Linked DNA regions of Astyanax mexicanus. The protein of the gene in region 1 purifies or fractionates together with the protein of each later gene. This does not show direct contact. Links are inferred from orthologs where the notes say so. Each region holds a gene or a part of one and is shown in the gene's direction. Other genes may lie near its edges.

Region 1 (8,099 bases):
TCGGATTAAAAACAATTCCGGGTGCAGAGCTTTCACTCAGTAAGATGAAAGATGAAGCTTAGGACTCTTGTGGTTTCTAGGTGTGACATCCCTGAGGGATTTCCTGTTAGTCAGTAACAGAGGAGTCTACATATACAGAAGTCTAGAAGCTAGAGCACAGTGAAGCTGCTGATTAAGGGTTTAAATTATTCCAGTCTACATTCCAGTCTTCATACAACTCTTTCATGGACTGTGACGTCACAGCACTTACCCAGTTTGAGTTACTGAAACTACAAGGAATAAAACAATACAACGGTTTTAGCACCTCTGTAAACCAGATCACTCTTTTATTATATGTCAATAGTAGTGATTTGGCACATTAGTATGCTACACTGATTAAAACCATCCAAAAAAATATATATAACATCAAACATTAAACTTTACACATGAAAACAGTCCAAACTAGATAGATTTAACTCATCAAATGCTACAGATTAAAACAGTTAAATATGCAGTTTTAAATTTTCAAACTGCACAGATTAAACCTATCATATCATAACTACACATACACTATATGTTGCGATAGTTATAGGTAGTGCTGGGCGATATAACGATATCGATTTGTTTCGCGATAATTTTTCCCTCGATGACGATGATAAGCCTGTGCAATAGAATTCGATAAACATTCATTTCCATTTCCGTCTAAGTGGCGCGGCAAACAACGAAAACACAACGTGTAATCAATCCAGAAGACGCTGGAGCAAATTAATAAATAGTTAAGAAAATTGTAATAGTTATTCTCATGCATGCAACAAAAAACCCTAAAGAATAGTGGAGTATGGCCCGACACACTTTGGGAATAAACGGCCGCACTGTTCAGCACGTTTTAAATAAATTTTAAGTAAATTTTAAGCACTAAATGTAATTAATTCAATTTATATTAGGACCTCGGGGCAGGTGCTGCAAAAATGTGTATGTGGGGCGCGGATTAAAGGAAGAGGTTTTTTTGCGGAGCGGTAACAGGACAAAAACACCTTAAGAATGATGTCTAAATGACTTTCCTCTAATCTAATATAATTTAACATGGTTTAAGGATATAAAATAATTTCTAAACAAACGAACTTTTTAATATTGAGCTTATGGCCCAAGTGCAAAAACACAAAATCATTTATCATTTAGATTATCTGCCTGAACGCGAGCCCGAACCCGAGCTTGAACGCCAGCCTGACTCAGGCGCTGCATGAACTCGGGCCGGTCGAGAACACCGCTTTCCTCTCAGATTAGGCGGAAGAAAATGGTCTTTTTTTTTAATGTAACAAATCACACTGTGATTTTTGTGATATTTCCCCAATTACAGCTCAGCTGCGCGTTTAAAGCTCAACGCATGAATTAATCGGTGCGCTGTGCGCCGCGCGTGCTCGCGGGGGATTTGACGCGTCTGTCAAGCAAGTTAATGGACCGTTTTGGGGGCAGAGATTAAGAAGTACAGCAGGTACATCTCAGATTTGTAGTTTAATGCTCTACTAAATTACTGGCTTTAAAACTGGCTCATGATATGGTCGGTTCTGGCTGGATTTTTTCCTGCCTACAGGCTGCATTTGACGGAAAGCAGCTCCTCAGTCAGACAACAGTGTCAGCATACAAATCGTGTGCGTTTCCTACAGGACAAACCATTTAAAAGTGCAGATAAACTCATTAAAAAATCACACAGTGTCTGTCTGGCTTAAAATACTTTTAATAAGGTACAGCTTTTAAATTAATAAATCAACATTCATTAAAAATCCGTGAGAAGTTCTGTATGCTAAATGACAAGCTAAGCTAATAAGCTAATAACATTTAATAATAACAGAAAAATAGATATGAATTTGGAAAATAACCAACTAAAGTGAGCTCAAAATACAATAATAAATATAATCTAACGAATTTCAAAATATAAATTAGAAATATTGAACTTCAATATTAAATTCAACTTCAACTACAAAAAACGCAAGGACCGATAGAACATAACGAACAGAAAAAAATAAATTTGAAATTGGAAAAAAAGTTCAAAATGCTAAAAGAAATAAAACCTAACGAATTTCAGAATATAAAATCTAAATATTGCACTGCAGCAGTACAAAAGCCTAAGTGCTTAAACAAACAAACCAAAAAACAGCCTATCACAAATCATTTTTTGAGCCCGACCCAGCTGAGGAAAAGGTGGGAAATCTTTTTTTTTCCGGCTGGGTCTTGGAAAACTTTGTGGTGAATTAAAGGGGCCGAGTTGCAATTTTTGTTTTACTTTAATCAGTTTTTAATCCGTCTTTTTAAAAACAAATATTCCAATATTGGCTGCCAATCAGTGCCCAATATTCTGAGCTCAAAAAACGCTATTCGGGCCAGCCCTACTAATCTAATATAATTTAACATGGTTTAAGAATATAAAATAATTTCTAAACAAACGAAATATTTAATATTGAGCTTATAGCCCAAGTTTTTTTTCAGTCATGGAAAATTGGAAAAAATTGGAAAAAAGCCCGAGTTCATGCAGCGCCTGAGTCAGGCTGACGTTCAAGCTCGGGTTCTGGCTCGCGTTCATGATTAATTTGTTTTTTTTTTTAAACTAATATTGGAATATTCGCTACCAATTACTGCCAAATATCCGGAGCTCAAAAAATGCTATTCGGGCCAGCCCTAATAATTATGGAGATACAGAAAAAAATATTGTGATAAAACTTCCATCACTCCCTTATTCTCTCACTAATAAAAACAAACCTTTAAGTGTGACACAAAGTGATTTGATTTATATCGTGATACATATCGATATCGACTGATATGGAAAACTATATCGTGATAAGATTTTTTCCCATATCGCCCAGCTCTAGTTATAGGCCTTCCAGTGACTGCAGTAAACCACTTTATGTTGTCTCCATTGCTGACACAAATGTGCAAATACACACACAGCTTTTCTAGTCCCTGCAGAGAATTACTGTCAATAGAACAGGACTCTCTGGAGCAGAAAAAACATAAACCTACTGGCATGCCTAATGCCAGGTGTGGGCTAGAGTAGTAATTCAGTACATTTGGCATAAAATGGGGAGCTGAGAATGTGTGTTGATTTTTGAAGAATCAGTTAATCAGTAGTAAGTTTCAATACCTTTGTCCTTGGAGTACATAAATACTGTTCAACTACCCAGAAAAAAAACACATAAATGTATATAGATAACTTAGTTCTTCTGAACAGTTTATGATCTACAGTGGTTTCATATTTTTAACAATAATATAATATAAAGTAAAGAAGCAAGAACTTATTCTTGTTAGACTATCAGGACAGAAAATTTATGGCAGAAACCTCACATCTAAAGAAGACAAATTTGGCTCAAATAATATCAAAATAAAAAGTAGGGATGCACACGTCGGAATTCTAGGCCGATATCTGACATTATGTTTCTGCCGATACCGATATACACATTTATAACAGAGAGAAAGACTATACACTCTAGTATAACTTTGGAAACAAATGTAACATTTATTTGCTTTTTTTTCAACCAGCTGTATGCTAACAATACAATTTAATTTGTTTTCACATTTTCTGCTTTCACATTTACTTAACTGGTCCTCACCTAGACTCACTGCTCTAAACCCTTTTTTAAACATTAATGGATTTTAAAGTAGCATGGCCAATGTCAGCCAATTATATTAGTGTGGCCAGGGTTTCTTGGTTCCTTTTTTACATACAATAAATACGTCAAACGGTTTGAAATATCACCCAAATGGTCAGATGAGTGTGATAAAAAAAAAGACATTTTGGCCCATACCAATTTAGTTATTTAATTCTGATATTATCGCGCAACCCTAATAGAAAGGACACTGAAATGGTTTAACCACTGCTTTGAACTATTACTATTGACCATTAGATCACGCTCACGTGAGGGTTAATGCTCACAGACAAATCCCGCCAAATTACTGTCAGAATAAAGTAAATTAATATACAAGACGAGAGAAAGGGAGAGACAGTCTTAAAGTAAGCCTTTTACAAGATAGCTAGCTAACAGTATACATGAAAAAGGCAAGAGTTGGCTATCTAACAGTTAGCTAACCCCAAGTGTCTCCATGTTCGACTGTGTCAGTCCACCTTAAATGGAGCAGCAGTCCCCCCATTCTGTCTCTCAGGCGCTGTGAACTGAGCTACAGCCTGTAGTTACTCGTGGATCTATTTAAGGTGGTCCTAAAAAAATAAAATACAAAATATATTCAACAAATCTCGAATAATACACAAGAGGTCCGTTTCAGAATTAACCTACATGTATACACAATCAGACAGCTAAAATAATCTAGTTCACTTCTAGCTAGTTCTATTCGGTTTCTGCACAGATCAGCCAGGTTATGTTATCTTAGTTTACTCAGATTAACAGTTTAAAGCGTCTCAGCCGAAACTTCAGCAGAAATCGCAGCTGCTGTTTGTGTTCCTATGCGGATTGTCAAGTGTGTAAACAGAGCTCAGGAGCCCGAAAGAGAAACTTACTCTCATCCTGCGCCTGCAGAACCCGAAGACAGGAAAGGACGACAAACAGTAAACCGCAGAAACCACCTCCACCTCCTCCAGCAGCTCTTCTCCCGATCACAGAGCTCATCTTCTGCCCCTCGGGCCGAGGAACGGATCCCCGACACACACAACGGACACGGCCAGCAGCAGCAGCAGACCTCCACCGAGCCTCCTCCGGCAGCAGCAGCAGGCCTGGCGCATGATCTACACACCACCACCACCAGCCGCCGCTCGCTCCCTCTCTCCTTCTCTCACACTGTCAGCCCGCGCTCTCTCTCTCTCTCCTGTACATACTCACACTCTCTCACACTCACGCTCACGCTCTCACCATCTCGCCCCCACGGTCACGTGAGCGCGCCCGCGACGTTAGCCCTCCGGCCGGCGGGGGGCGATAACCAGAAAAGATGGCGGACAGGCTAACACAGCTGCAGGACGCAGTCAACTCAGTAAGATCAAAATTATGTGTTTTAAACTGTTAATTCTTTACGAATGTCGCACTGTGTGAGGTAAAAAGCAGGTCTAGTTCTCAGTTGGTGTGTTTGTGGGGAATGGGAGGTGCTGCTGTTCTTTTACTCATGACTGAAATGAAACTGCGGCGAGCGTTAGCCAGATACAGCTAACGCTACAGCTATGATGGGCTAGAGGAGTAACTAGCCGGCCAACTAGACATGTTAAAGATAGGCTATGCAATAATACATGTTAGTTAGTTCATTAATGTTAGACACGTTTGGTCGCCGCTAGATAAATCCAGACTTGTTGGCATGACAGATATTCGCGGTATCTAACTAAGTTAATAACTTAGCTAGTCTCTCCGAAACAAGACCTAATATCTTTAAATGTTTTCTGTATTACTACTGTATTAACTACTACGCTAGCTTACAAGGCTACACTAACTGACGTTAAGCTAATTTCTGTTAGGTCGTTTAGCATAAAATGACAGTAGTGATACAGCTCGAGCTCAGTACTTAAGTTACCAGAAAAAAGGTACAATTCAGGACCTTCTCAATGTAGATAGATAGATAGGTTAGCTCGTTTAGATGGGTTAGGTTTTACTAGTTAACCCAAAAGAGCCCATGGTGACTCGTCTCACAGACCCATTAAATGATGTGTCAAGTAAAGCACTTTCTCAGTCATTTTATCTCATGAAGTCCCTTAGTGACACATAGGTTAGCTACTAAACATCCTGACAGAATTACAGCACAGTTCATTCATCTGACCTCGTTTAGAGAATGTAGGAGTGCTGGAGATATAACTAGCTCATTTTAAAAGTGTATTTTTAATTCTACGGGTTTGTTTCAACCGTTAATTTAACAATTCAACTGCTTTGATTAAATGTTTTACCTTCCGTAGGATTAGTAATTGCTACAACAAAATGTTAAAAATAAGTTTTGAAATTGTTGTTCTATTATTTGTATTACATTAGGATTTTAATCTTAAAACATGTACATTAAAAAAATGTGAAAATATCAGTAATGACATGTTTACCAGTAATGATATCAGACCTACTGATCTATACAGATATTTTGACTAGTCATATTACCAGAATGACACAGTGTCATTTTGACTAGTTATATGTAGCTTAACATTGATTGATTTCTACATTACTAATGTTATCTTCAGATATTTTCACTATCTGACTAGGAAAGACTTTATGTACACATATTTGTAAAATGAATATTGAGTATTAACAATGTTTAATCAGCACCTCTTTGGCTCTCTATCTCAATTTTAGCAGGAAATGAGAGCCACTGCTTTATTACACAATGTTGCCCGAAGGCAGCGGAAAAAACACTGTTTTAGAAACTTTACAAGAAGAATAAAAGAATATCTTGCACATAAATATTTTTATTTATGGCCCACACATACACATTATTGTATTTGAAGTAGACATGCATTGTAACATTCCAAAAAAAAACTAACTATTAGGTAAATAAGGTAAAGTATGCTATTGTGTAAAAAACAACAAAATGGTTTGTTGCCTGAGGGTATACATTGTGTCAAGGAGGGTTGTACTTTTGACTGGTGGAAGTGCATTTAGGATATTTGTAGTATATGTGCAATATAATTTGAGATTAATAATAATAATATTGATGTCCAAAACTACAGTTCTTACTAGTCGGAATTACATTACAATAGATTACTTACTCTAATCACCCACTACTTCAGAGGCTCTAGTTATCACCTTCATAAATGTTCTGCCTAATAAAGCATGCAACACCATTAAAAGTCTCAACAGTCAAGTCTGGTGTCCCAGACCACCTTTCTCCTTTCTTCAGACTTCTCATTAAACCAACTTCATTACTGTGGAACCACACCAGGCTCAGTAGTAACTAAAGCCAGACAGAGCTCATCAGTTCCATGTGTGACTCTACTCACTTCATCAGAAACACTACAATAACATATGCTAAAAATAGTATACATGTTAGTGTTTCAATATAAACTATATCATTTGATTTGCAGCTGGTAGAAAACAATATTAATGTAAGAGTTTATATGTTATCAGATCAGATTCCTCCACACCCAAAAGTCAGAGTGATTTACAAAAATTGTGATTTTTTTGGGGGGGTTTTATTTGAGTTCTACATGCAGTAAAATTTCAGTTTTATGTTTGTCTTGATTTTGCGTGATGTAGTTGGCTGATCAGTTCTGCAATGCCATTGGAGTTCTGCAGCAATGTGCGCCACCTGCTTCCTTCAGCAACATTCAGACAGCCATCAACAAGGACCAGCCATCAAACCCCACAGAAGGTCCAAACAAATTCTCATCATCTCACAGTGACACATTTATTAAAGCTTAACAGGCAGTTATTAATGTTTTCAAACCAATGTGATTGTTTGTTCCATGCTGCTTCAGGCTAATCGCTGTGTCTTTTTTGCCACAGAATATGCACAGCTTTTTGCAGCCCTGATTGCAAGGACAGCGAAAGATGTTGATGTGTTGATCGATTCGCTGCCTAGTGAAGAATCTACCGCTGCTTTACAGGTTTGTATTATGAATGCTCATGAGATTTTGAGAGTTGTTAGGAAACCTGATTATTGGTTAAACATTTTACAATGTATTTGTTAATTTGCTTAAAGTTATGATAAGTAATTTGTAAAATTGGTTAACAGGTTTGCAGAATGGGTTAATTAGAGTAGTAAAAGGACACTCAATAAACTGATACACTTTAACAAGCACCTGGGATATCATAACAACTGCCTAGCAACTACTTAGCAGCACCTTAGCAACCACTAAGAAATGTCATGCAAACACCTGTAATATCGTAACAGTCACTTTGTCAAAGCAAAGCAATGGCAGCCACTTGGGATACCTTAGCAACCACAAAAGCAACACTAGAGTAAACCAGCTGGTATATAATAGCAGCCATTTAGCAACAGCATATCAACCCATTAGCTACACCAGAGCAACCACCTTGCAGCTACCTTGAACTGAAATCCATTTCAGTGGCAAATCCATTGTTTTGCTATTTTCTTTTAACTATTATATGAACAAAAATGTATGCCTTTTCTAAACTCTCTTGTATTATTTCCTCCTTACCTTTTGACCAGGCTGCTAGCCTGAGACAGTTGGAAGAGGAGAACCATGAGGCAGCAGC
Region 2 (8,377 bases), on another chromosome or scaffold:
TGTTTGACTTGAAGGACTGTGTGTAGCTGTTCTTAAAAATTATTTTAATTAAATAATAGTTTTATGCTATGTTACAGTGTTAATTAACATAATTCCGATTATATTTCGCTCATTCAATGAGCCCGAAAACAGCCAGTTTATGGCGCGGATCGGGACGGGCTCGGGCTCATAATGACAGTTCATGGTTCGGGTGGGGTTCGGGCTCGGGCAGAACGTGCACGGGCTCGGGCTGGGTCGGGTCGGATTTTTTGGGCCCGATCTAAGCTCTAGCACCAACGGTGCCACAGTCTGGGTCAAAGGACCAAGGACCACATATTCACATATTTCCTTTATTTCTGTCTCTTTTTTAGGGTTGATTGTACTCATACACTCTGGACAAAGCCAAGGTGAATTTTCATAACATTTGAATCCATGTATTCTTACGCTTACATGCAATAATAATTATTTATGAAACATGGCCTAAAATGCAGCAATATATTAAAACACAAGATGAATTTTTGTCTTATTTCTTCTACTTCACAAAAACATACACAAAAAAATGAATCTGAATTGGGTCATCTTTAAAAACTACTAATTAAAGCAACATTGGTGACTAATTCATTTTGTTACAGAGAGACCAAAAGCTGTGGTGTCCATAAAGCCTGATAATAATGTGTTCAGAGCAGAGAGGGTCACTGTCAGGTGTGATGTGCAGGGAGGAGGAGACACTGAGTGGACATTCAGCTGGTATAAGAATAATCTCACTGTTCACACATCCAACACATCTCCGGAGTATAAAATCAGCTATATAACAGAGTCTGACAGTGGTGAATACACCTGCAGAGGAGAGAGGAGGAGAGACTCTGAGAGATCAGAGATCAGTGATGCTGTTACTCTTACTGTATCTGGTGAGTTTTGTGGTGTTTTTGAGGAACATCAGGTGATTCCATTAAACAGGGCTTTTATTATATATAACATATCCTTATATTTCCAATCAGCCAAGATAGTGCTGAGTGTGTCTCCACAGAACTGTCTGACTGAAGGAGACTCAGTAACTCTAAGTTGTGAGGTCAGAAATTCTTCTACAGGCTGGAACTTCAACTGGTACAAATATGAATTCTATCAGCGGTACACCTCAGAGATCAGCAGAGGAACTGGAGGAACCTACTCAATCAGCCCTGCTGCTCTTCGTCAAACAGGACTTTTCTGGTGCAGTGCAGAGAGAGGAGAACCAGCCTTTCACACAAAAAGCAGCAATATACAGCATCTATTGATCACCGGTAAGTAAATATAGATGTGTATAGATGCTATTGTTTAATGTAATTATCAGATCAGTTATACAGGTCTTAGTTTTGATCGTCTTCAGCAGCATGATGGGAAACACTGAGATTTTTCTGCATTTCAGTTTCTTCTCCTTCAGTATCTCTGATCGTCAGTCCCAGCAGATCTCAACATTTCAGTTCTGACTCTCTCTCACTGATCTGTGAGAAACAGCGTAACTCTACTGGATAGAGAGTGAGACGATACACACTGGTTGAGAATGTGAAGGACTGTTCATCAGGCTGGGGATCAGTTACAGGATTTACATGCAGCTTTAGCTCCCTCTCCATTACCGACACTGGAGTGTACTGGTGTGAGTCTGAATCTGGAGGGAGCAGCAATCCTGTCACCATCACAGTGCACAGTGAGTCTACACTAATCTCACTCTACTAAATAACAGGAGTTTAGTAACAGTGGAACAAAAATTCAGATAGACATTTTTATTAAGATCAAATTATGAGGGTTATGTAAATATATCTGTCCCGCATTGTTACAGTTGTTTAATAAAAAAGTCAGCTAATTTAGTGGCATACCTACACTAAGTTTTTATTGGACTGTTGAGGTGACGTCAGATCAGTAGCAAGAAGAAGCTAGAAAAAAAGGAACTGTGAAGCCTGTGTATGTGTTAGCGTAGCCTGTACCTCGTGAACGTGTCTGTAAAAAGAACTCCAATAAAAGGTCAAGTTGTGGACCATATAAACTCACCGTGCCTCATTACAATATCAAATGTAAGAGTAAATATTGTTTAAAAATTGTGAAAGTATATCTTATATTGGTCACTGTTAGAAGTTACAATTATCAAGTCAAGTAGTTTTATCAAGTATTTTGATCATTGTATGTTCTATATTCTCTTTTTTCTGCAGATAGAGATGTAATTTTGGAGAGTCCTGTTCATCCGGTAACTGAGGGAGATCCTCTGACTCTTCGCTGTTTATATCGTAACCCAAAGTCCTCATATCTCACAATTTTTTTCTATAAAGATGATTTATTACTCCAGACCTCGACTACAGAAGAGATGATCATCCCTACTGTCTCAAAGTCAGATGAAGGTCTCTACCACTGTAAAATCCCAGAGAAAGGAAAGTGTCCACAGAGCTGGATCTCCATCAGAGGTTTGCTGCTGTAAACAAATCATTACAATACAAAATGCATAATACATTAATCTTTCAATAATTTCTGTACCACATTCCAGTGAAGAAAAGGGGGTTTTATGTGTGTTTAAGTATCATCAGGTGCATCTGCTTCAGAAGCTCCATTCTCAGTGCTCCATCTGCTCAGTTTTTCAATGGCAGCGTCTCCATATCTGTTGGCGACCATCATACTGGGGGTCAAATGCTACAGAGCTCGAGATGAGAATCATTTATAACAATTACACTTTTAGTTGCACTGAGACCAAGATTTCTTTCTTCTAACATTTGATTAATAACTAATTGATCCGTTTTCTTCATTGTGTATTTCACAGCCAAGCCTGGTGAGGTGGACAAAACACATGCAGTGATAGACACTCTTTGAGTGTCAGATGTGGAGATTTTACAGTAAAATTATAATCATGTGCTTTATAACGTTAAGTATCGCTGAGAAGTGCTTTATTTTGCAGGACAGTTAAAGAAGCTTTTAGCAGCTCTGACTTTACAAAACATTTAGCAGAGAACTGTGTTATTGCACTTAGTGTGACAGCTTCAAATAAAAAAAAAAATCAGAAAGTATTTTTATTACAGTATGCCTTTTAATAAAGCTATAGAATGCTTTTTATTTCATAAAATAATTTTCATACATATTTTTAATAAAATCTGAAGAAAAAAATTGTTTGTCACTTCCATTCTTTTCCTTTCTAAGCATTTGGCGTTTGGTATAAATTATTAAATGTTATACTTTTTTCAATTGTTTAAAGCCTATGCATTTGTTTGATACATTTTACAACTGGCATTTTCTGATAAGTGGTAAAATTGAAGTGTCCATTATTTATGCTTTTTAGTTTTGAAAAAATAAATAAATAAATAAAATAATCATATATATATATATATATATATATATATATATATATATATATATATATATATATATATATTGTTCCATTTAAAACTACATCAGTTTAAAGGCTACATTTAGATGACTTTTGACTTTGTACTATGTTTATGTTAATTAAAATATTAACGGGGTATTGGGGTAATAAAGTTGAAAATATACATATACTTACTTATTTTGTTCTTTTTTTGTAATATATTTATTAAAGAAGATTCTCAGCACCTGCTGACATTTATAAATCACGGACGTCAAGCAGTCATTGCAGGCAAATTATCTGCAACAAAATACTATAAACAACAGTGGCATTTTAATCTACTTTTAATTTATGGTTCTAACATACTGTTCCAGTTGTTAAGATGTGTTCGCTTGAAAAGTAAAGGTTAAGAAAGTTTTCTGGTCTCGGTTATATATGCTCAGGACTCCCCCTAGCTTCTCCTTCTATATTTCAGTCTACTTCCTATCATGTTTAATGAGGGAATCTCAATAGTACAAAATGCTGATAGATGATATTTAGGTCATAGTAGACAATAATGTTCATAAAAATCAACTATTTATTGAATATAAAACAGTTGATAAATAATGGCAAGGGGTTTCCGGTTGTTTAATGCACCCAAGAAGAACAGAGTTACCTTAAAAAAATAATAAATAAAAAAAAGGTTCCGCGCATGCGCACTGATGTTGAGAGGCACATTTTCATGGGTAGCACTTCTCGACAGAACGCCGAGCTAACCTGTGTTTTTTTTTTTTTTTGGCTTGTAAACTTTTTATTGGCTGGTTCATGGTATATTCTCAGGTCTCATTATGTCTATTGTAATTATGGAAGCCCATTCCCACCACCTAAAAAATAAAAATAATCCAGCATTTTTTTTATTATTATTAAGTAAACTGCTATCTCAATATTCTGAGATACTAAGTCAATGTTTTGAGATACTATCTCAATATTTTGAGATACTAAGTCAAGATTTTGAGATACTAAGTCAATATTTTGAGATACTATCTCAATATTTTGAGATACTATCTCAATGTTTTGAGATACTAAGTCAATATTTTGAGATACTAAGTCAAAATATTGAGATAGTATCTTAAAATATTGAGATAGCAGTTTACTTAATAATAATAATAAAAAAATGCTGGATTATTTTTATTTTTTAGGTGGCGGGAATGGGCTTCCATAGTAATGGACGCAGGGTCTAAAATGGTTTAAAAACCTGGTTACCTTTGGCAAAAAATGTGTCTCCGTTTTTTGTCGTTATGAAAGCAGGAGGAAGACTTTTAATTTGAAGTTTTCTCTGGAGCCGAATCGGAAGCGGAAAGGTTGGTTGTGATGGTGTGTGAGTGTGTGCTGGTGAGTTCGGGCGCCGTACTCGAGCTGTGTTGCTTTGTTGCTGTAGTGTAAAGTGTTTTAAAGCGGAATTAGTGCACTCTCACATTATTACACACCGCGTGTAGCCCGGGCACAGGGTGCTTATCTCCTCTCCGCCTCTGGACGCTGTGCTCGAGCGGTAATGGCGAGCGGAGCGGCGGGAGCAGCGAGTGTGGGGGATGTGGAGGAGGACGCGTCTCAGCTGCTCTTCCCTAAAGGTCTGAAATAAAACACACACTTATATATTTATATACAGTTCTGGAAAAAAATATGAGACCACTTCAGTTTCTAATACTGATTTTGCTTTTTATAGGTAACGTTATATGTTTGAGTAAAATAAGCATTGTTTTATTCTATAAACTATGGACAACATTTCTCCCAAATTCCAAATAAAAATATTGTCAGAAAATGAGAAATGTCTGAAATACAGAAAAGATGTAGAGCTTTCAGAACCTAATTAATGAAAAAAAAACAAGTTCATATTCATAAGGTTTAAAATATTAAATATATGGTGAAATAACCCTGTTTTTAATCACAGCTTTCATGCATCTTGGCATGTTCTCCTGCACCAGTCTTACACACTGCTTTTGGATAACTTTACGCCTTTACTGGTGCAAAAATTCAAGCTGTTTAGCTTAGTCTGATGGCTTGTAATCATCCATCCTCCTCTACATTATATTCATTATATTCCAGAGGTATTCAAACTTGCAAAATAAAAAAACCTCATAATTTTTAAGGGGTCTTAAAAATATCATAGGTCTTTTTCCTTCTATACATTACCATAAGTTTATACACAGCTTGTTATTTAATATTTTTCTTCATTTCTGTTTAATTAATTTAACGTTTTACATGGTATATTAATATTTAAGACACGAAAACAATTAAGGGACACATAAATAAGGCAGTACATATTGTTCAGCACCTCCAGGAACTCCTTCAAGACGCTGAGACATGAGAAACAATCTGTCCACCCTATATGACTTTGTCTCCTGGTAATGGCTATGTGGGTCTGACAGAAAGCAGTGGTGGTGACAGAGTTTTTTCTGTTTTTCACCTTTTTAACCTGTTTTTCACCTTTGTGCAGAATTTGAAAATTCAGAGACGCTCCTGAACTCTGAGGTTCACATGCTTCTTGAGCACCGAAAGCAGCAGAACGAGAGCGCGGAGGACGAGCAGGAGCTTTCTGAAGTCTTCATGAAGACCCTGAACTACACGGCTCGCTTTAGTCGCTTCAAGAACCGCGAGACGATCGCCAGCGTGCGCAGGTGGGTACCAGTATGCTAGTTCTGGCACTGTTTGAAGCAAGTTTAAGCTGCTGCTAAAAAATGTCACTAAACAGTAAATTATCAATAATTCAAAATAAGCTTTCTTATAAGGTGGGCATGAAGTGTATATTTTTAATCATATTCTAATAGGTTACGTTGGTATAGTGTATTGTAAATGTTTCCAGTACATAAAGAGCACTGCAAATTTTATTGAAAAGAGTGTAATTTTGTCATTTGGACAAAATGCTGAAAGTGAAAAAAAAATAATTTGTACCAATCCTTTTTTTTTTTTTTTTTGATAAGCAAGACATCAATAATTCTTGAAAGAAGTGACAGCGTTGATGAAACCTACAAAAAAATATATATATATACGTTTAGTCACCAGTCAATAAAATTGTTTGGGGTAAGGAGGAAAACAATGTAATTCTTTTAGTTATACATGACTTTAACATTTTTTTTGTGCGATGGGTGAAGGTTTAATTGGCTTTTAAAAAAATCGAAATTATGCAGACATTGAAAATTAACCTAACATTTAATCTCAAATAAAAAATGTGGACAAAATAAATATTGCAAGTTCAGCTGTTGCCATGTTAAACAATTACTAATTGCTGGTGTTTCCATCACTCACAGCGCTTTTCACCTATTTCTTTAAATCTAACTCACATTCCTGTTATGTGCTTGTTTTACAGCTTACTCCTACAAAAGAAGCTACATAAGTTTGAATTGGCAAGTTTAGCCAATCTGTGTCCAGAGGCAGCAGAAGAAGCAAAAGCACTCATTCCAAGGTGAGTCCTAGTTCAGAACATCACAGTTTAAGGTTTTAATGAAGCTTTCTGGCTTTTCACACATTCTCTCTCCCTCTCTTCTAGCTTGGAAGGTCGATTTGAGGACGAGGAGTTGCAGCAGATTCTGGATGATATTCAGACCAAACGGAGCTTTCAGTATTGAATCATATCTTTTTGTATATTCAAGGCCATAACCCATGCAGTACATCTGGACATTATTGTATTGTTTTATTACAGACTGAGCATTCTCCACACTCTCCTTTGCTGAGATGTTTTTCACCCTTTTCCTTCTGCTGGATTATACATTTTTTGTGTTCGCAGTGTTTCATAGTTGAGAAATAAATGTTTTCATAAAATTAAATGTCTGGGTGAATTCCTTTTCGAATGAAAAGTAAATAGAATCAGTTCTTGGTTGTATCACAAAATTTTAAAAACATGATTAATATTATGTCAAAACATGTCCAATATTAATGTCAAATATGCCGACTAATATTAGCATATTAATAAGCGTTGAATAGCATGAAGGTTTAGACATAAGCGTTGAATAGCATGAAGGTTTAGACATAGCCCAGACAAGGTCTTCACTAATACAGTAGTCTATACCTCACAGAAGTTAATATATGCCACATCTCAAGGGCAGAATGCAGTTTTCCGTCCCATGAATTTGGCATGTCATATGGAAGCTAAAGAATGCTGCACTGACCTGTGGAATATGCTTCTGGTGTCTCCTTCATTAAATGTGGATGTGTGTTCTGTCTGTTTACAAGGACAGTTAAAACCAGATGCCTTTTTTCCTGATCATTACTACCCTCTGCGCTGTGGGTACACTGTGGGTGGTAAGGCCTTCTATGATGTATCATAACAAAATATCTACTATTCTAGACCAGCTTAATTTATGGGTGATTATTCTTGTTAGAAATAGTTTGTCAAGATAAGTCTCCTTCCACAAAATTGGTAATAGTTTAACCATCTGTATTTTACACCCCATTGTGATAAAAAGTTATCAATTCATTGGAAAAACACAATGTGTGGTTTCATAATGTTATAATGATTTTCTTCTAAGAAAAAAAGAGTTAACATTTTTTATATTAATTTCATATTTTTTTTCATGAAGGAGTAGATTGTTTCAACTTAATTACTGCTCATACAAGAATAACTGAAATATTCACATTATTTATCTGTATTAAATGTACATCTTATACATCTTATATCTTAAATAGTTATGAAGGACTTCTCTGCGAAAACAGGTTTTCAGTTTTACCATCTGTATGTTTCAGGCGTTTAGAAATTAAATGCAAACTTAACTCCCTAAATCTAGTAAGACATTGTTAAAAAGTATGTGAACAGTTATAAAGCTCTGGGTTTCACTTGGCAAATAAAAAAACAAATAAGCGCAGTTTGGATCATCAGTTTTTTATATAAAACATGCGAGCATTACCTTGATATAAAGGAGCTTAATTTTTGGGGCATGGTTTGTTCAGTTCAGACAAAAAACTCAACTGAATCACCTCCTATATATATATATATATATATATATATATATCATCCTCTGCTGATTGCTTTTGACTGGTACTGGATATATACATATAGTTTTAAACCCAGTACTTTTACACTTTTGAGTAAAAAGCTTAAGTTGATAT
Region 3 (7,735 bases), on another chromosome or scaffold:
GACAGCACGCCACGTCTGGTTGCCGCTCTGACCACTACGGGTGGCATTTCCCGTGCGACGGAATGTGTTCAACCACTCCAGAAGAGAGTCACCATTGGCACTCTCTGTCCCAGGCTCGGCAGCACCTGAAATAAAAATAGAAAAGAGGATATTTTTGGCCTAAATAATGGGCTGTTAGGCCAGATCAGTGAAACAATCAATGATTTAAGCCCAAAGTTCAAAAGTGCTGCAAGTAATGATTATTTCTATCATAAATCAAGCGTTATTTACCAAAGCATTTTTAACATGGCCTATTTTTCACTAATTATTTCAGTGCTGCCACAAAACCCAATACATGCATTCTGAACCCTGCTCCAGCCCTCCCTGAATCCTCTGAACTCACCACTGCTGCCCTCCTGTCCTGTTTCACTGTTCTGTAGGTGTGCTTCAGGGCGGGGCTGGGAAGACACGCGCTCCTTAGCTCCATCCAGACGCTGCCTCAGCTCCTCAGCTGTAACCTCACCTAGAGTAAAGGAGATAAAAAGCACAATCTACATTTTTGCCTGTGCATCAATTAAAATTATGTCTCAGGCAGATGAGGCCCTATAAAAAGGTTCTCAGAGGCTACTTTAAAATAGTGTACTTCTTGGTGTGAGATCGTTGATTGCTAAATATGCCTCTACTATACACAAAAATGTCTTTTCGTGTATAGTAGAGGCATATTTAGCAAGTTCACAGTCTTTAAAAGTTACTGAACTAAGAGAAACAGTCATTTGTCAGCCAGCCACTATCGCCTTTGTTTGCAGTTGTGTCGTGAATAATAAGCCTGGATGGCTGTTTAGCGACAAATACAGGTTACATTTGACATCATTTCTAAATAAAGCAAGGTTTTAACACTGCTGATATAATGAGTTACATTAAATGAGTGCTCAAGCAAGACATTTTAAATACTGTGCCAATGTGTGTGTGTGTGTGAATGAGGTTACCAGGCGTGCCCAGCAGGTTGCTGTCTCTCATCAGCCGATACTCCTCCTCGCTCAGCTCGTTGATGAAGTGATAGTATGCCTCCTCCCGCCGAAGACGCTCAGCCTGACGGCGACGCTCATCTCGCCCGCCGGGAGGGTCCATCACCATGAAAACCGCTGTTTTTCAACAGTCCCACAAACAGAAGGGTTCAACATTAGAGCTGCAAGCCTATGTGCACTTACCTGCTTATTGCTGCTGATACAATGACCTCAAGACCATAACAAAAATGAACATCATTAAAGGTGCGATTACAAATGCCAGTATGTGAACTGCAAAATGACCATTATAAAAAAAAAATTTATGATGATAAGATCATAAAGAGCTCTATATTAATCTCTAAATAATGAAGAGAAGGTAATCATAGAATGATGACCCAAAGCACACTCGCTCAGAGGCTTTTCAACCCTAATAGCAAAACAAACTGTTTATGTATGCTTAAAGTACTTTCATAAGATCAATTAGACTGATTAAAATAAAAAAATACAAATGAAAGACAAAAGCTGACTGTCCTGCAGGACCACTGAGCAGAGCAGGTCTAAAAAAAATAGGCTAGAAGCATAGACATGAGACAGCAAAAATCACATTAAACGCACGCACTGCTGTCAGAAAACATGAAGTGACACCTTGATTAATTAACAAGACAACAGAGCTCCTTAATATCTCACACAGCAACCACTTGAAGGATGGCACCACTAGGTTAAATGAGTTAAATAAATAAAATAAATGCATACCAACATATACCAATCTCTCTGGATTTGCTCTAAACAACACATCTTTAAAGCTTGTTTGTAACAGGCTTTAAATATGTGGCCACCCTAACGACAGTAACACAATAACGCGAAAATTAACAATATATACGTAAATAAACCGCTGCCCTTTCTACACCAGCACCTCTGCTGTCTCTGACTATGGAGCTATATAACCTAACACAGTAGGCCAAGGCGAAGAATGTAAAGCAAGCAGAGCGACACGCTGACGTAGCCAGCGCAGCAGCCAATCAACAAGTCGATAGCGATGACTGGCACTTCGAATGCCCAATCAGAGCTGCCCGAAGGCGGTACGTGACTAAGAAAAGTCGGGCACCGTGTGAGCGTTTCTAACCGAGGCACAATGAAGAAGCCCCGACTTCTCTTTAAAACGTTATTAAAATCACACTTCACATGCAGCAATAACACGTGGCCACGTTATAGTACGACATGCGCAGACGAGGCCGAACAGCGAGCTGTCATTCTGTCTGCGCAGCCGGTTCTGCTGGTGTCGACAGATAGCCGCCGTGCTAATAACCAACAGCTAACCAAAAAGCGGGTTTGACAACCGATTAGACAGCAGACAGGTCCCGCCACGAACACACAGCTAAACACACCAACAACAACCCGGCCGCTTTCAGCGAAAGAGAGCCGCGGAGACACACATAAACCCGCCAGTCTAGTACCTGAAACAGCAGCGATAATATGGACGAGTCCTCTCTTTTTCCTCTTCGCTCTGATTACAATGTAGAGCTAAGATGGGACCAACGGAGCCACACACACTCGCGTCCGGCCGGCTACCTGACGCGCTGCACACACGTTCCTGTTCACAAGCACCCCCTCTTCTTCACCCCACACCCACTCACCCCAAACATTTTTTTTTTCATTTAATTATTTCAATTATTTATTTAAGAAAGACATTACTAGTTTTAATATTTAGTGGGCTCTTCAACTATAAAGACATTGGTCTTTTATTGTACATATATTGTATTATATAGTCTTCCTTACACTTATTTATAAGATTACTGGATCACAATGTTTCCCTTACATTTATTACTGTATCATACTGCTTCTATATTACTAGAATTTATGTACAATTACAGTAAAAGTAGTTACATTACAACACTGTACATCTGCAATATTCAACTGGCAATTTGAGTTTTTGTTGTACATATATTGGATCATACCATTTTCCTTACATTTTTTACTGAGATTACTAGATCACAGTTATTTCTGGAATTACTGTAAATTTGCAATATCCAACTGGGAAAAAATATTTTGTTGCACTGTGTATATATGCATATATGTATTATTATTATGATTTATTTTTAGTTCTTTAAAATCACAGTAAAATATTTTCCATTCGTATAGTGGAAATATACTAGAAATATAACTAGAAATGCCAGTAATTTTCTCTACATTTTTAAAGTATTTTAAAGCGTAGACAGGCACATCGCATATGTATTTGCTGCTAAAGCCTGAAATTGGTGCAAACATACTTTATAGCAAATATTTTTTATAATATTCCAATAAAATGTATATTGTCTAAAATTACTCATCTTTCTTTGTTGTTTTTTCTTTCACCTTTTCTATAATGTTGTCCTTCTAAATCTTAGCTAACACATAGCTGTGTGAGATTGGGACCAGGGTGTCTCTTGGTGTCAGTGCCAAACAAAGGCCATTGTTTTTTCTGAGTGAAGATCGTTGAAGAGGACGTGGAGTGTAGCTTTATACAGAGACTACACTCGAATGCTTAAGTAGCGAACGCAAGTTTAAGACGCAAAATAGTCGTTTTTTTAATTTCAAATACTCGTTTGGTAAAGAGTTAACATCCACGTGGTGCCTCCACAAAGCCCCAGTCTTTTCATTAGTAATGAAAAGTTCGATTCAGTTTGCCGAGTCGGTTCATTTAAACTCATCCGTTCGAAAGAGTCGAACGCACGATTCGGGTTACCTCGTTCTCGTAGCCTCTCTTGCAGAGTCATTGCATTTGAATGCAGAAGTCCCTAAGTGACATATACTGAACATCCTAAGAGCATCATTACAGAACAGTCTGCGAATCTCTGTTCGTTTATTTCACTTGATTTTTTCTTTATACTTTAATTAATAATTTGATGTTCTATATAACTATATCTGAAACAAATTCTAGAATAAAAATGTTAAAATATTATGAAGTTTATGAAATTGTTGTTGTGTTACATCAGGAGTTTAGCATTAAAATATTTACAGTCATGTACCCACAATCAGAAACAAACATGAATTAGCTGCTCACTGAAATAATCAGATTTTAGTTTGAATTTGGTATCAGTATTCAAAAATGAGTCTGTGCTCTTATGGGATACGTTGATATAAATATATAATTAGGGTTGCCCAAAGTGTGACTCCCAGCCACAACATGACTTATTAGTATTTTATATAATAACCTATTACATTTGTAATTTTATATATAGTGTAATTTAATTATTTTATAATTAAACACATTTTAACTGGAATCATTTGCTAATATGTTTAGACCAGCAGCATCAAACCCACCACAAACACACGCTCATCCTCCCTCTTCCTTTAAGACAATAGGTATGGTCATCTCTGGCGTGGACCCTGCAAAATAGCTTCCATTCCAACGGGGGTAAAATGAATCGGTTCAACAGACGAGTCAAAAAGAGCCGTTCAACGGAACCGGTTCACACGAGTCGGATTTCGGGGGTTTTCAGGCGAGCGACGGTTTTGCGACACTGCCGTAAGCGGAGCCTGCTCTCCCGAGTGAGATACCGGTTGCGAGAGAAAATCTAAAGGAACTATTTGGGGCAGAGCCACATATGGTGGTGCTTCACCTCAGCACACGTTAAAAAAACACGCTACCCCTCCTCACTCACACTCAGCCCGGGGTACATGTGGCGGCTGAGCTGAAGCGACGCGAGGGAAGGCAACTGATTGTGTGAGCGGCGCTGGAAGTAAGTTGCCTCCCTGGCGGCGCTTTAAAACAATCAGAAAAACACAAACACACACTCACAAACACACCCCGACCTGCCCACAGCCGCCCGGGACGATGGACTATGACTTCAAAGTTAAGCTGACCGGAGAGAGAGAGCGAGTGGAGGACCTGTTCGAGTACGAGGGATGCAAAGTGGGGCGAGGGACGTACGGTCATGTGTACAAAGCCAAGAGGAAAGACGGGTGAGTTTCACCACTCGGTGACAAAACGAGCTGAGTGAGGCCTGTGAGCCCTGCTGTCTGACTGTCTGAAAATATCAGAGAATGCCCCTGACATCTCTGCTGTGCTGCTACACCGACCGGTTCCGTGTCTTTTAGATTTACCAGCAGAAACAATAAACACAGAGTGCAGTAAACCTGCGAGTGAAGGCAGGCTGGTGCCACTGGTGTAGCTGGGTAACTAACTTAGCTGTGTTGTTGTCATTTATGGAGAGCGGCCCCTTTATTTTCTGTTTGTCTGAAAAAAAACGCCACACAATCAAAATTTGGTGTTGTGTGTTACCTAGGCATACTCTGCATTCATGGCATATATATATATATATATATATATATATATATATATATATATATATATATATATATATATATATATATCTTCTGTAATAAAAAAAAAAGCTTTTCTGTGTGTTCAGACTGGCAGTGAAAGCAGTCTGGTGTACGTGGTGTAGCTAGGTAACTTAGCTGTGTTGTCATTTATGAAGAGCAGCCCTTTTATTTTCTCTATGGTTGAAAAAAACTATAGCTATAAAACGTCAAAACAATCTAAATTTGGTGTTGTGTGTTACCTAGGCATAGTCTGCCTTCATGACATAACTATATATCTCTTCTGTAATAAAAACAAGCTTCTCTATGTGTTAAGACTAGCAGTGAAAGCAGTCTGGGTTCAGTGGAGTAGCATTAACTTGGCTGTGTTGTTGTTGTAATTTATGAAGAGTAACCCCTTTATTTTTTCTTCATCTGTCACTGGGGGTTCTGTAGTGTATGTTCAATCTTTTGCTAGATTTTCTGTTATGTGGTCACATTTCTGTATAGCTGCTTTGTGAAAATATCAGTTGTAAAAAGCACTATATAAATAAATGTGATTTAATTTGATAGCTATAAAACACCCTTTTATCGCAGTTTGTTGTCTGCCAACATGGCACATAGATATCTCAGCAAAATGAGCCTCTTGTGTGTTCAGACTAGCAGTGAAAGTAGTCTGGTGACAGTGGTGTAACTTGACTGTGTTGTTGTCATTTATGGAGAACAGCTTCTTCTTTTCTTTTTGAATAAAAAACGCTATAAAACGCCTCTTTGGAATCCAAATTTGGTGTTGCATCGTCTGCCATAATGGTACATAGATATCTCGTCTCAACTGTGTTGACAAGCAGTAAAATCAGTCGGATGTCAGTAGTGTCACATCGCTAGCTATTTATCCCTCCTGTAAAACGAGCTTTTCTGTATGTGCAGACTGGTGTGAGTGGTGTAAGTTAACCGATGGTGTTGATACTCATCCAGTGCACTTCCATTTACATCTATTAGGGCTACATGTTTTAATGACATTCAATCTTTTTTCAGTATATGTATATATATTAAAATAATAAAAACATACAGTAATTTCCACCACATTTCTTCTGAACTGGGACTGTGTTCTCTCTGGAGTGATTGTACATCTCACTAATGCTCCTTTTGCTAAATGCAATCAGATTCTCACAGAAATGTTCCAATATCAATGCTTTTTACTTTCCATAATTGGATTTTTATTGGAGGTGGCAGGTGTTTTTGCTAAGTATGTCTCTATAAGAGATTGCATAGTGCAAAGTGATGAAGACTAAGTGAATTAGATCAGTGGAGAGTAGCATAAAGAATATGCAGTGTCACATAAGGAAAGTTATATCACACATTTCCTTTCAAAAGGAAAATTTGCACTGTTCTTATTTTCCATTTTCAGAAGAAGGTGTCTGTGAGTTAATGTGTCAGAACTGAGTTGCTGCACTTTCCTCTGAGTGTGCTGGCTACTCGGTAATGCTACATCAGCAGCAGTTTGAAAAAGAGGCGGCTGACTTCACGTGTCAGAGGAGGCATGAGCTATTTTTACCCTCCTTGCGTTGTGGCATTACCTGTGATGGGGAATATAAAGCTGCCTTGCAGCTGAATGGGTGGGCCTAGCTAAATTTGGAGAAAATGTAGATTAAATAAGAATCTTAAAAATTAAAAGTTACTGATTTATCTCAAAAGGGAGAAAAGTACCTTTGGTTATTCGTTGGAAGGGATTTGTAATGCTTTGTGGATGTTTAGAAGAACCCATGGGTTATATGGTTGGGACTATGTTTAATATCTTAAAGAATTTATAATATTTAGCACCACTAGTCATTTTCTAACTATGATTGCTATAGCTCCACCAAGCTTATTAAAGTCTAAGACCGATGAAGAAGTTATCCAAGAGCAGAAATCTCTGGATGCACCTTTATTTTTTTTTACCCCAACTCTGTAGATTTTTGCCATGTTCTTCAGTCTAGGCTGCAGTAGTGCTGGGCAGTATACCAGTTTATATGGTATTTCCGTAGGGGAAATTAAAACCAGTATGCCTTTTTTACATACCGCCATACCGCTAGAGGCGCTGCGGAGGGCCATAAAGAACAGCTCCGCCGAAGAAGCACCCTAGCAGAGCTCACTAATGCTAGCCACTTGGCAACCAGCATGACAAGCCAACACACTGGAATTTCAGCTCTGTGGAGCCAAACGCTCTGTCCTGCCTGGAGAGTTCATGCTGCTATTCCTCAATGTGTGAGTGTTTTTATCCGAGTAAAATAAATAAAAAATAAACAATTATTTTTAAAACATTAATGTTGTAGCTTGAAGGTATGTTTTTTTTTTAACTGCTGGAAATTTTGGCTAATTTTAAAACTTTAATGCCTCTAATGGCTTCAAGAATAACATATTTTAACTAAATTAATATAAAACCTTACTTGGGACCTTGAGCTTTTGAGAAATATTTATTTTAAATACCTAAA
Region 4 (8,605 bases), on another chromosome or scaffold:
GATTAAACACAGTGTTTAAGAACTCCAGCAGCACTGCTGTATCTGATTCAGCAGTAAAGAATAGGGTAAAAAGAGGATAAAAATAAAAGTAAAATGCAGAGAAACAGATACAGGACTACAGTCTCTAATTATAGATCTACGAAGTGTCCTATATGATCAGTGGAGCCAAAAAATGCATAATAAATGTAGAAATAAGGAGGTGGTCAAAATGTTTTTGTGCTTGATGAAGTTTGTTGTCATATAATCATGTTATCTTGGTTTCTAGGCCATTTAAGGAGCTGCAACAAACAAACTGGGAATGAATTTGGAGGAAATGTCCCATTGAACCTAATTAAAAAGCAAAATATCAATATTTTAATATATATATTTGGTTATTGTTGATAATACAAAATCTTTATATATTTTAACATATTAGACCATTAAATAATATTTTTAGGCCATGAGATCATAGGTTGAGATCACAAATTACATTTCTAGTGGCCTCAAGATAATATATTGAAGGCACAGAAAAATATTATTAATTGTATTATTTTATGGCCTCGGTATATCATCTTAGCCATAATGTACTACTATTTTGCTTTATTATATTATTAAAAAAATATATCTTATAGCCATAATATATTATCATGTAGCTTCAATTTCTTATGTTATGGTCTCTATACATTAACTTGTGACCTCAATATATTAAGTTGTGGCCTTAGTGTATATTATGTAATGGTCTCAATGTATTATTTTGTGGCCTTAATATAACAAGTTTTGATCTTAATATTTTAACATGTGGCCTCAATATAATATATTTTGCCCTTAATATATAATTTTCTAGCCTCAATATATTATCTAGTAGCTTTAATGTATTGTTTTGTATGTTTGATATATTATCTAGTGGCCCCAATATTTTATCATATCTCTTCAACATATTTTATTGTGACCTCAATATATTGTCTTGTGGCCTCCAAATATTATTCTGTCCTCAATATATTATCTTGTTCCTTAAACTAAACTATCATGTGGTCTTAATAGGACCAACAAACAGTTCTAATACATACAAATAATTAAATAAGTAATTAAATGAATAAAAACCTAAGCATATAAAAAAGATAAAAGAAACAACCACTCACAAAAGATTAATCAGACGTTTTAGATCAGTTATTTAGTCAATATATTATATTGAGGCCACATGTTAAAATATTAAGATCAAAACGTGTTATATACACGGTCCAAATTCTATGTACAGTTGTATTCAAAATTGTTCCATCCTCACTGCAATAAAGTGTTTTTTACTTTGGTCACAATCAAATAAAGACTTGAATAATAGACAAATATACTTCTAATATACCAATTAATAATTCTAATAATTCTAATATACGAATAAATGTACTTTTTGTGATTTCCTCATTGACAAAATTATTTAACCTCTTAAAGATGACCACTTTTTTGAGAACAGAAGTTTCAATCAGGCATTGAAAGGTAGGTGATTAGAATCAGCACTTTTCGAGCAGCACTTAAACAGATTTAAAATGACTTTAAAAGAAGATACTCAGCTCCATCTAGACAGTTAATGGTGTCATTGCATCAGGAAGTCCAGGGAATGGTCAAATAAATCTAGAGAATTGCTCATCATAAGCAAGGATATGGATATAAAAAGGGAGCAAAGACATTAAACACACGAAGAGACACAATTATAAGCATATTTTGCAAGTTTAACTGCTCTCTGGTACCTGAAACGAAATGTGGAGAAAAACCCCTGGCTGACAGCTGAGAAACTGCGACAGGACATCAGAGGAAGGTACTCAGGTTTTGGCCTAGACCGTAAGGCACACACTACGAGAGGAAGGCCCCCGTGCCAGAACTGCTTGTTTGTAGAAGAAGGGCTGGGGGATTCTGGAGTGACCATTGCAATCGCCCAACTAAAATCCTTTAGAAAACCTCTGCCCAAGAATGTCAAAGGAACTGGAGGCCTTTCCTCGTGAGGAATGGGCTAGGATACCTGTAGATCACTGCAAAAAACTTGTGTCAAACTATGTTTCACATCTGAAGGACGTTATTACCGCCAAAAGAGAGTTATACTAAGTACTAATGTTGAATCTGACTAAAGGAGCTGAATAATTTTGACAATAAGTCACAAAAAGGACATTTGTTGGAATATTAGAAAAAAATACTGTTGTAATTTAAGTTGCATTTGTCTATTATATAAGTATATTTGATATATTTGATCTGATTGTGAACAAGATAAAAAATAAATGTTAAACTTGCTAAAACACTACTGCAGTGGGGGTTGAATATTTTTTAACACAACTGTAGCTTTAACATTAAACAGAGTTTAGTATTTTTAATATTTAATTTTTTGTGTATATATATATATATATATATATATATATATAAAAGTTAAAAAGTTGTCAAAAGTTTGGACAGATGATCAGTAATAATTATTCCTTATTTCTATTATTTACAAATTGTAGCTTAATGCAGACATGCAGTTGTGCAGTCGACAAACAAACACCTGATTTAAAAACACAACACAGGTGCTTTGGAATAGCTTTAACATAAAACAGAGCGTCCAACAGTTTCTCATTCTTTCAACCCCTTCAGCTAGTTAATACTAAATTGTTAACCTTCAAAACTTGTCTTGGAGAGCATCATAAACACATGCATAGCAGTCAACAATCTCTCATCAAGAGGTACACTATCCAAAAGTAGCCTTTTATAGGGCAGTGTAAGAAGCACTTTAATGCAATTTAATCTTGTGGCAAGACTTAGTATATAATCAGATTACAGCTACAGCCATTTACATATCAGATATAATTATTATAATACGGGGTAAAATATTTTCTATCAGTGTATTTTCTAATAAATACATTAAATATTTTAAATTGTGTTCCATTGCTTACACAGTCATTTTTACATTAGAATAGAATTCTCTGGAGCAGAAAGACAAACATGAATCTATTTAACCATACATTTGTGGGTGGAGCATGAATATGTTAATACATTAAATTATATAATCACACAGCTTTACAAAAAGCTTCACAAGCACTTCTAATTTCTTTCTGCTTTTCCCAGCCGGCCTGACGCTCAGGCCTCTGAGACTCCGGTCCAGTCCAGGCCCGCCCCGTCAGCGCCGAGACCCCCGAGCAGACTGGACTACAGTTTACTGCGATACACACCGCTACAGTACAGCAGCATGCTCACGGGGCCATACACTCGGGACACTGCTACTAGTCCTACAGAAAACACCACACATTCAGATTCAGCCCGGCCCAGTGATGAGGGAGTGACCTTATTATCATCATCATCATCCTCCTCCTCATCCTCCCCAGAGTCAGAACTGTCCTCCTCCTCCAGCAAGAGCCGGGCCACATCCAACCCATCCAAGATCTACACGCCGTTTATGAGGCTAATGGAGATCACAGCTAAACTGAATGTAGAATAAGCTAAAGTGAAGTGAAGGGTGCAGTGCCCTGAATCAGACAGTAAATATGTATTTGTATATATTTTTCCTTTTCATTTTGTAACATAAATTAAATTATATCCTGATCTGTGAATAACTTTTATAAATTTTATTTTAGTAGCATGTGTGGATGCACTTTTTCTTTTTTGTTATTTTGTTTACAAATATGTATATTTGGCTTTATGGTATGGAATTTGGAAAGTCTGTATTACTCTGTATTTTACAGTTTTATACGTTTATTTTCAGTTTCCTAATGTTCTGGTTACAGCTTTGAATTACTTTCTTACACAAATAAATAATAAATAATATCTTGTAGTATAATGTAGTAGTATTCATATTATAACAGGCTCCCTGTAAGTCAGAGGTGTGGGGTGTAATACAGCGCTGTGATGGTCAGTAATTGGCTGGATTATTAGAAGTGTGCCAATGGCATCAGATCATTTTCACTGCCAGAAAGAAGCAAGAGACGAGGACCAAATCCCTCCACATTGCCACTGTGTGTGTTTATAAGGGTACAACTTTAATAAAGAGATTATCTGCACAAAGTGTGAGAGCTTCTGACCTTCTGTTGCTGGAAACAAGAGCAGGAATCTTCATCAATAGATCACATAAAGAACCACTGCAGCGCCGTCTGGAGGACAGAAGCTGGTAACGGAACATCAGAAACCTAACTTTATAGTAGGAAGGGATACCCAATAAACTAAATATATGTTATGTTCTACATATTGATACACAGTACAAGTCTTTAATCATAGTTTGGACACACACTCATTAATATTTATTTTTTATTTGTATTATTTTCTAGATTGTAGATTAATATTAAAAGAATGCATATGCAATTATGAAGCAAACAAAAACAAAGTGTTAAACAAGCCAATTATGTTTTATGCTTTAGATTCTTCAATATTTGTAAGAAATTTGAAGAAGCTAAGTTTTGATTGCTTCACTATAAAATATACGTGTAGAAAATAAAGAAAACACATTAAATGTAAAAGGGAGTGTCTAAACTTTTGCCTTTTTGTTTGGTTTGAGTTTGAGTTATTGATGTATATTTATAGATGTAAATAATTTAACCAAAACCTTTTTCTCGAACAATTTCCATATATAAAAATGCTTCACTATTACGAAAGCAAGTGTGTAAGTTGTAGGACACAGCAGACATAGCAGTTTATATTTAATTTTATTTAACTTTAATAATTCTTTAGGAAAAGATTTTAAGTGTGTTTTATTTATTATCAGAGAAAGTAGGAGTGAGCGTGTAGTTTGGCGAGAGACTTTTATTTTAATATACACTTTTAAGAAAACAGTAGGGTTTTTTGTTTTAGTTTTATTACTACTAGCAAAACTAATATTACATAAATTATTGGTACATTATACCACTATCATTACTTTTATTTAATATATATATACGTGTGTGTGTGTGTATGTTTTATTTATTCTCTCGGAGAGAGCAGGAGAGAGAGTGTAGTTTAGTTTGGGACTTTTATTTTGAATTAGCAGTGGCACGCTTCACTGTCAGGTAGTGGCGGTGGTGCTGTGAGCGGGTTAGCTGTGAGGCTCTGAGCTGATTCACTGTAGAGTTTAATATTAGAGTTTATTATAGAGTTTTTCTGTATTTATTAGATTAATTCGGGTGAATTCAGCGCTCTGCAATGATTCTTACCGCCGCTGGAGGTTTCAGGCTGAGTCCGCCGCAGTGAGGCGAGGTGAGGTGGAGATGTCCGGCCTGGCGGGAGAGCTGAGCGGCCGCAGCAGAGAGGAGCTGCAGGAGATCCTCAGCAGACAGGAGAAGATCCTCCTCAACAAGTCAGAACTCTGTATTATATTTATACACAGAACCAGTCAACACTTTACACACCTTATATTCAGTGCTTTTATTTTTATTATTTTCCTTCATTGTAAATGAATAATGAAGTAATCAAGACTAGGAAGGAACACATAACATGTAGTAACTTAAAAGTTTTTAAACAAACCAAAATACTCTGTGAAGCTCTTATCTGGGGAGCTGTTAACTTGTGGTTTATGAGGCTGGTAAATCTGATTACCTTATCCTGTACAACAGAGGGAACTCTTGATCTTCCTTTCCTGGGGTGGTCCTGATGAGAGCCAGTTAAATCATAACGTTTTTGATGGTCTTTTCGACTGCACTTGACGATACTTTCAAAGTTCTTGAAAAGAAAGTATTTTTTTCTTTACTTAGTTGAGTAGTTCTTGCCATAATATGGATTAGAACTTTACGTAAATAAGGCTATTCACCGTATAATAACTCTACTTCTACATAACTTTACAACTGATTAATATTGAAGACTTGAAAACAATTAAGGGAGTTATGTAGTAAACAGTAAATAAGTGTTTTTCCTCAACATTAATCCCCTGATCTAAATCTGATGAACTGAGATGATGATTTGAGGTGATTTAATTGGGATGAGCTGGAGCTTCACAGCGTGAAGAAAAAGCAGCAGCTATTGTTCAGCACCTCCAGAAACTCCTTCAAGACTCATTCAAAACTATTCCTGAAATTAAAATACCAAGAGTGAGCAGATCTGTCCTTTAAGTTAAATGTGGCACTTAGAAGAATCTAAAGTATAAATCAGATTCTGTTTTGTTCACCACTTTTTATTTACAGAATAATTCAGCATGTGTTCCTGTATATCTTCATTGTATGTCTTCCATTCTAAAATTACAATGTAAAAATCATAAAAGAAAATAAGAAGAGGTGTGTCCAAACTTTTGACTGGTGCTGTATATCCCCTCTGACTGCTGGAGTTTGTTATTTAGTGAAGCTCTTATCAAGCTCAAGCTGTAGTATCTTTTACAGCTGATAATAAGTAATAATCCGGCAGGTGATTTTAATCGTGATGATGTCAAGTCACAAAATAAAATATAAGCAAAGCATATAAATTGGGATGTGAGCTCTATGGGAGCTCTATGGGGCCTGTCAATTGATTCAATAATTATGGATAACTAACGATTCGTTTAATATTCTGTTAATCTTTTAATCATTTGAAATATTTTGGTTTATTGATTATTAATTGGATAAAAGGAAACATATATTAATATAAATGTAACATATTTTCCAGATATTGTTCCGATATTAAAAAATTTAGAGATCTAATGTTGTAATTTTAAAAGTAACACACAGCCTACCATTATTAAAAATGTTAGTTTACATGAAGAATTAACCTGAGATTAACTTTAATCTCATTAATATTGTTATTTAATAATACAATAGTGTATGTAATGTGAATATACACTCAGCTGTGACACTTTAACGCAATGTCAGGTCAAAAAGACCTTTAAAAAAGGGTTTAAATTTCTTATGAAAATTTACTATATAACTGCTGCTGCATTGAAGGTGGAAAGGAAAACTTGCTAAACGTATGTAAGAAAGGGTCACAAATTACACCATTTCCCACTGTGGGAAATAGCTGACTCACCTGGCTGCTCTTCACAAACACATTTTTCACAAGAACTTTCAACATGATTACATAATGAACATGTAGTTCATTATTATTTTTAATTTTTTCAGCTCTTAGCTCCATTCAGCTCCAGTTATATAGCACTCACTCGCGGGCTCCATCTAGAGTTTAACATTCTTTTACTGATATAAAAGTGGGGGCAGTATGAGGTCAGACTCTTTATAAACAGCTCTGGTAAAGCAGGGAATGCGTTTTGGACCCGTGGTTCTCTCTTTCTCTGTAATTCCATTGGTAGTATGTGGCCGCTGCTTCTGAATCCCAGTCACCGACTGGGTCAGATATCTGACGTGCCAAATATTTGGCAGGCATCGCCTCAGCGAGCATCTTTCAGCAGTTTATACTACACAACTGTGTGAGCACCGAGAGATCCCTGATTTGCCTCTGAGCAGAGTTTTTGCGATCAACAAAAAACTGTCTGCGACTGAAAAACTGGGCTAAAATCATGTAGTGTAAACCTGACCTAAGGTTAACGTATTCGCTAAACATAAGTGTGATATAAATTAAATTTTAATAAAAAACGCGTTCATATTTTGAGATTTTACACTGTTTTTATCAAATGAACTAATAGTGTTTGTGTGGTTTCTACAGGAGGTTCGTTCAGACCCTTCCGGATAAGGGGAAGAAGATTACAGACTTTGTGGAGAAGGTGCGGCAGGCGCTGGAAGCTCTGGAAGAGGAGGAGGAGAAGCAGGCCAGTCTATCCGCTATTGGAACAGAATTTCAGGTCCGGTATCAGCAGGCTTTAGCTCAGCGCAGGAATGCTGAGCGAGAAACTGTTAAAGAGGAGGAAAACTTGCTGGAAACCGGCAGAACGAATCAGCCAAACACAGAGGGCGTCATGGAGGCGTCCACACCTGCTGGCGGTGCAGAAGATCTGGTGGAGGCGCTTGGACGGGTCAATCTGTCTGAGGAAAAGAATCGTCCTCTGAGAGACACTGTTATTAACTCTCCACCTAGAAACGTCTTCAGTGCCACACAGTCTCAGAAGAAACCACATTATATAGAAGTGTTGGACAGAGCGGATGCAGATAAGCAAAAACACAGATTTAAACCTAATCAGTGAGTAAAGACCCTCTCTCTCTCTCACTTTTACAGTTTAGCTTTTAGCTAGATACTGTTTCATCAGTGATCACAATCTCCAAAACAGTAACTTTAAAAGTTTAATGCATTTTTTTTTTACTATAATAATAAAAAAAAATGTTGCACCATTAAAGGCAATTGGTGTTTTCAAATACAGTACCAATCAAACGTTTGGACACAGTTTAAATTCAGTGACTTATTTTATTTTAACATTTTCTGCATTGTAGATTAAAAATGTTTAGACTAAAAATGTTTAAAAAAATGAAAAAAAAAAAAAAAACATATGGAATTATTTAGGAAACAAAAAAGTCTTAAACAAACTGGAATAAGTTTTATATGTCAGTTTCTTTAAAGTAGCACTTCTTGTTTAGATGACAGTTTTGCACATCTTGGCTGGATTATCTCAGTCAGTTTTATGAGTCACCTGGAATTCAGGCTTTCAGTTAACAGCTGCGCTGAACTCATCAGGAGTTAATTACTTGAATTGAATTGAGGTACAGTTGGTATACAGTGAATAGCTCTTTTTAAGTAATGTTCTAATCCATGTTATGGCAAGACCGACTCAACTAAGAGAAGAAAAAGTATCCTCAGGTGCAGT

What was found.
Region 2: the proteins of med21 (region 1) and polr2d purify together in Homo sapiens (affinity purification with mass spectrometry; 4 studies listed by BioGRID and IntAct, with this or other methods). This does not show direct contact. The link is inferred for Astyanax mexicanus from reciprocal best matches to the Homo sapiens genes MED21 and POLR2D.
Region 3: the proteins of med21 (region 1) and cdk8 purify together in Homo sapiens (affinity purification with mass spectrometry; 14 studies listed by BioGRID and IntAct, counting the BioPlex papers as one, with this or other methods). This does not show direct contact. The link is inferred for Astyanax mexicanus from reciprocal best matches to the Homo sapiens genes MED21 and CDK8.
Region 4: the proteins of med21 (region 1) and polr2m purify together in Homo sapiens (affinity purification with mass spectrometry; 3 studies listed by BioGRID and IntAct, with this or other methods). This does not show direct contact. The link is inferred for Astyanax mexicanus from reciprocal best matches to the Homo sapiens genes MED21 and POLR2M.

Annotation. Positions count from the first base shown.
Region 1 is NC_064409.1:37,875,126-37,883,224, reverse strand, and holds the start of med21 (mediator of RNA polymerase II transcription subunit 21), read left to right. Parts: upstream 1-4,845; 5' UTR 4,846-4,908; coding exon 4,909-4,950; intron 4,951-7,136; coding exon 7,137-7,251; intron 7,252-7,385; coding exon 7,386-7,486; intron 7,487-8,052; coding exon 8,053-8,099. Other genes in the region: tm7sf3 (transmembrane 7 superfamily member 3), read right to left, coding at 4,484-4,592. UniProt on the Homo sapiens protein: Component of the Mediator complex, a coactivator involved in the regulated transcription of nearly all RNA polymerase II-dependent genes.
Region 2 is NC_064415.1:11,612,420-11,620,796, forward strand, and holds polr2d (DNA-directed RNA polymerase II subunit RPB4), read left to right. Parts: upstream 1-4,590; 5' UTR 4,591-4,829; coding exon 4,830-4,905; intron 4,906-5,771; coding exon 5,772-5,952; intron 5,953-6,641; coding exon 6,642-6,737; intron 6,738-6,821; coding exon 6,822-6,900; 3' UTR 6,901-7,098; downstream 7,099-8,377. Other genes in the region: high affinity immunoglobulin gamma Fc receptor I-like, read left to right, coding at 351-386, 612-1,259, 2,163-2,197, 2,297-2,425. UniProt on the Homo sapiens protein: Core component of RNA polymerase II (Pol II), a DNA-dependent RNA polymerase which synthesizes mRNA precursors and many functional non-coding RNAs using the four ribonucleoside triphosphates as substrates.
Region 3 is NC_064408.1:96,296,946-96,304,680, forward strand, and holds the start of cdk8 (cyclin-dependent kinase 8), read left to right. Parts: upstream 1-4,468; 5' UTR 4,469-4,797; coding exon 4,798-4,925; intron 4,926-7,735. Other genes in the region: E3 ubiquitin-protein ligase RNF6, read right to left, coding at 1-125, 383-502, 966-1,113.
Region 4 is NC_064430.1:31,677,294-31,685,898, reverse strand, and holds the start of polr2m (protein GRINL1A), read left to right. Parts: upstream 1-4,957; 5' UTR 4,958-5,165; coding exon 5,166-5,254; intron 5,255-7,515; coding exon 7,516-7,986; intron 7,987-8,605. Other genes in the region: myzap (myocardial zonula adherens protein), read left to right, coding at 3,061-3,430.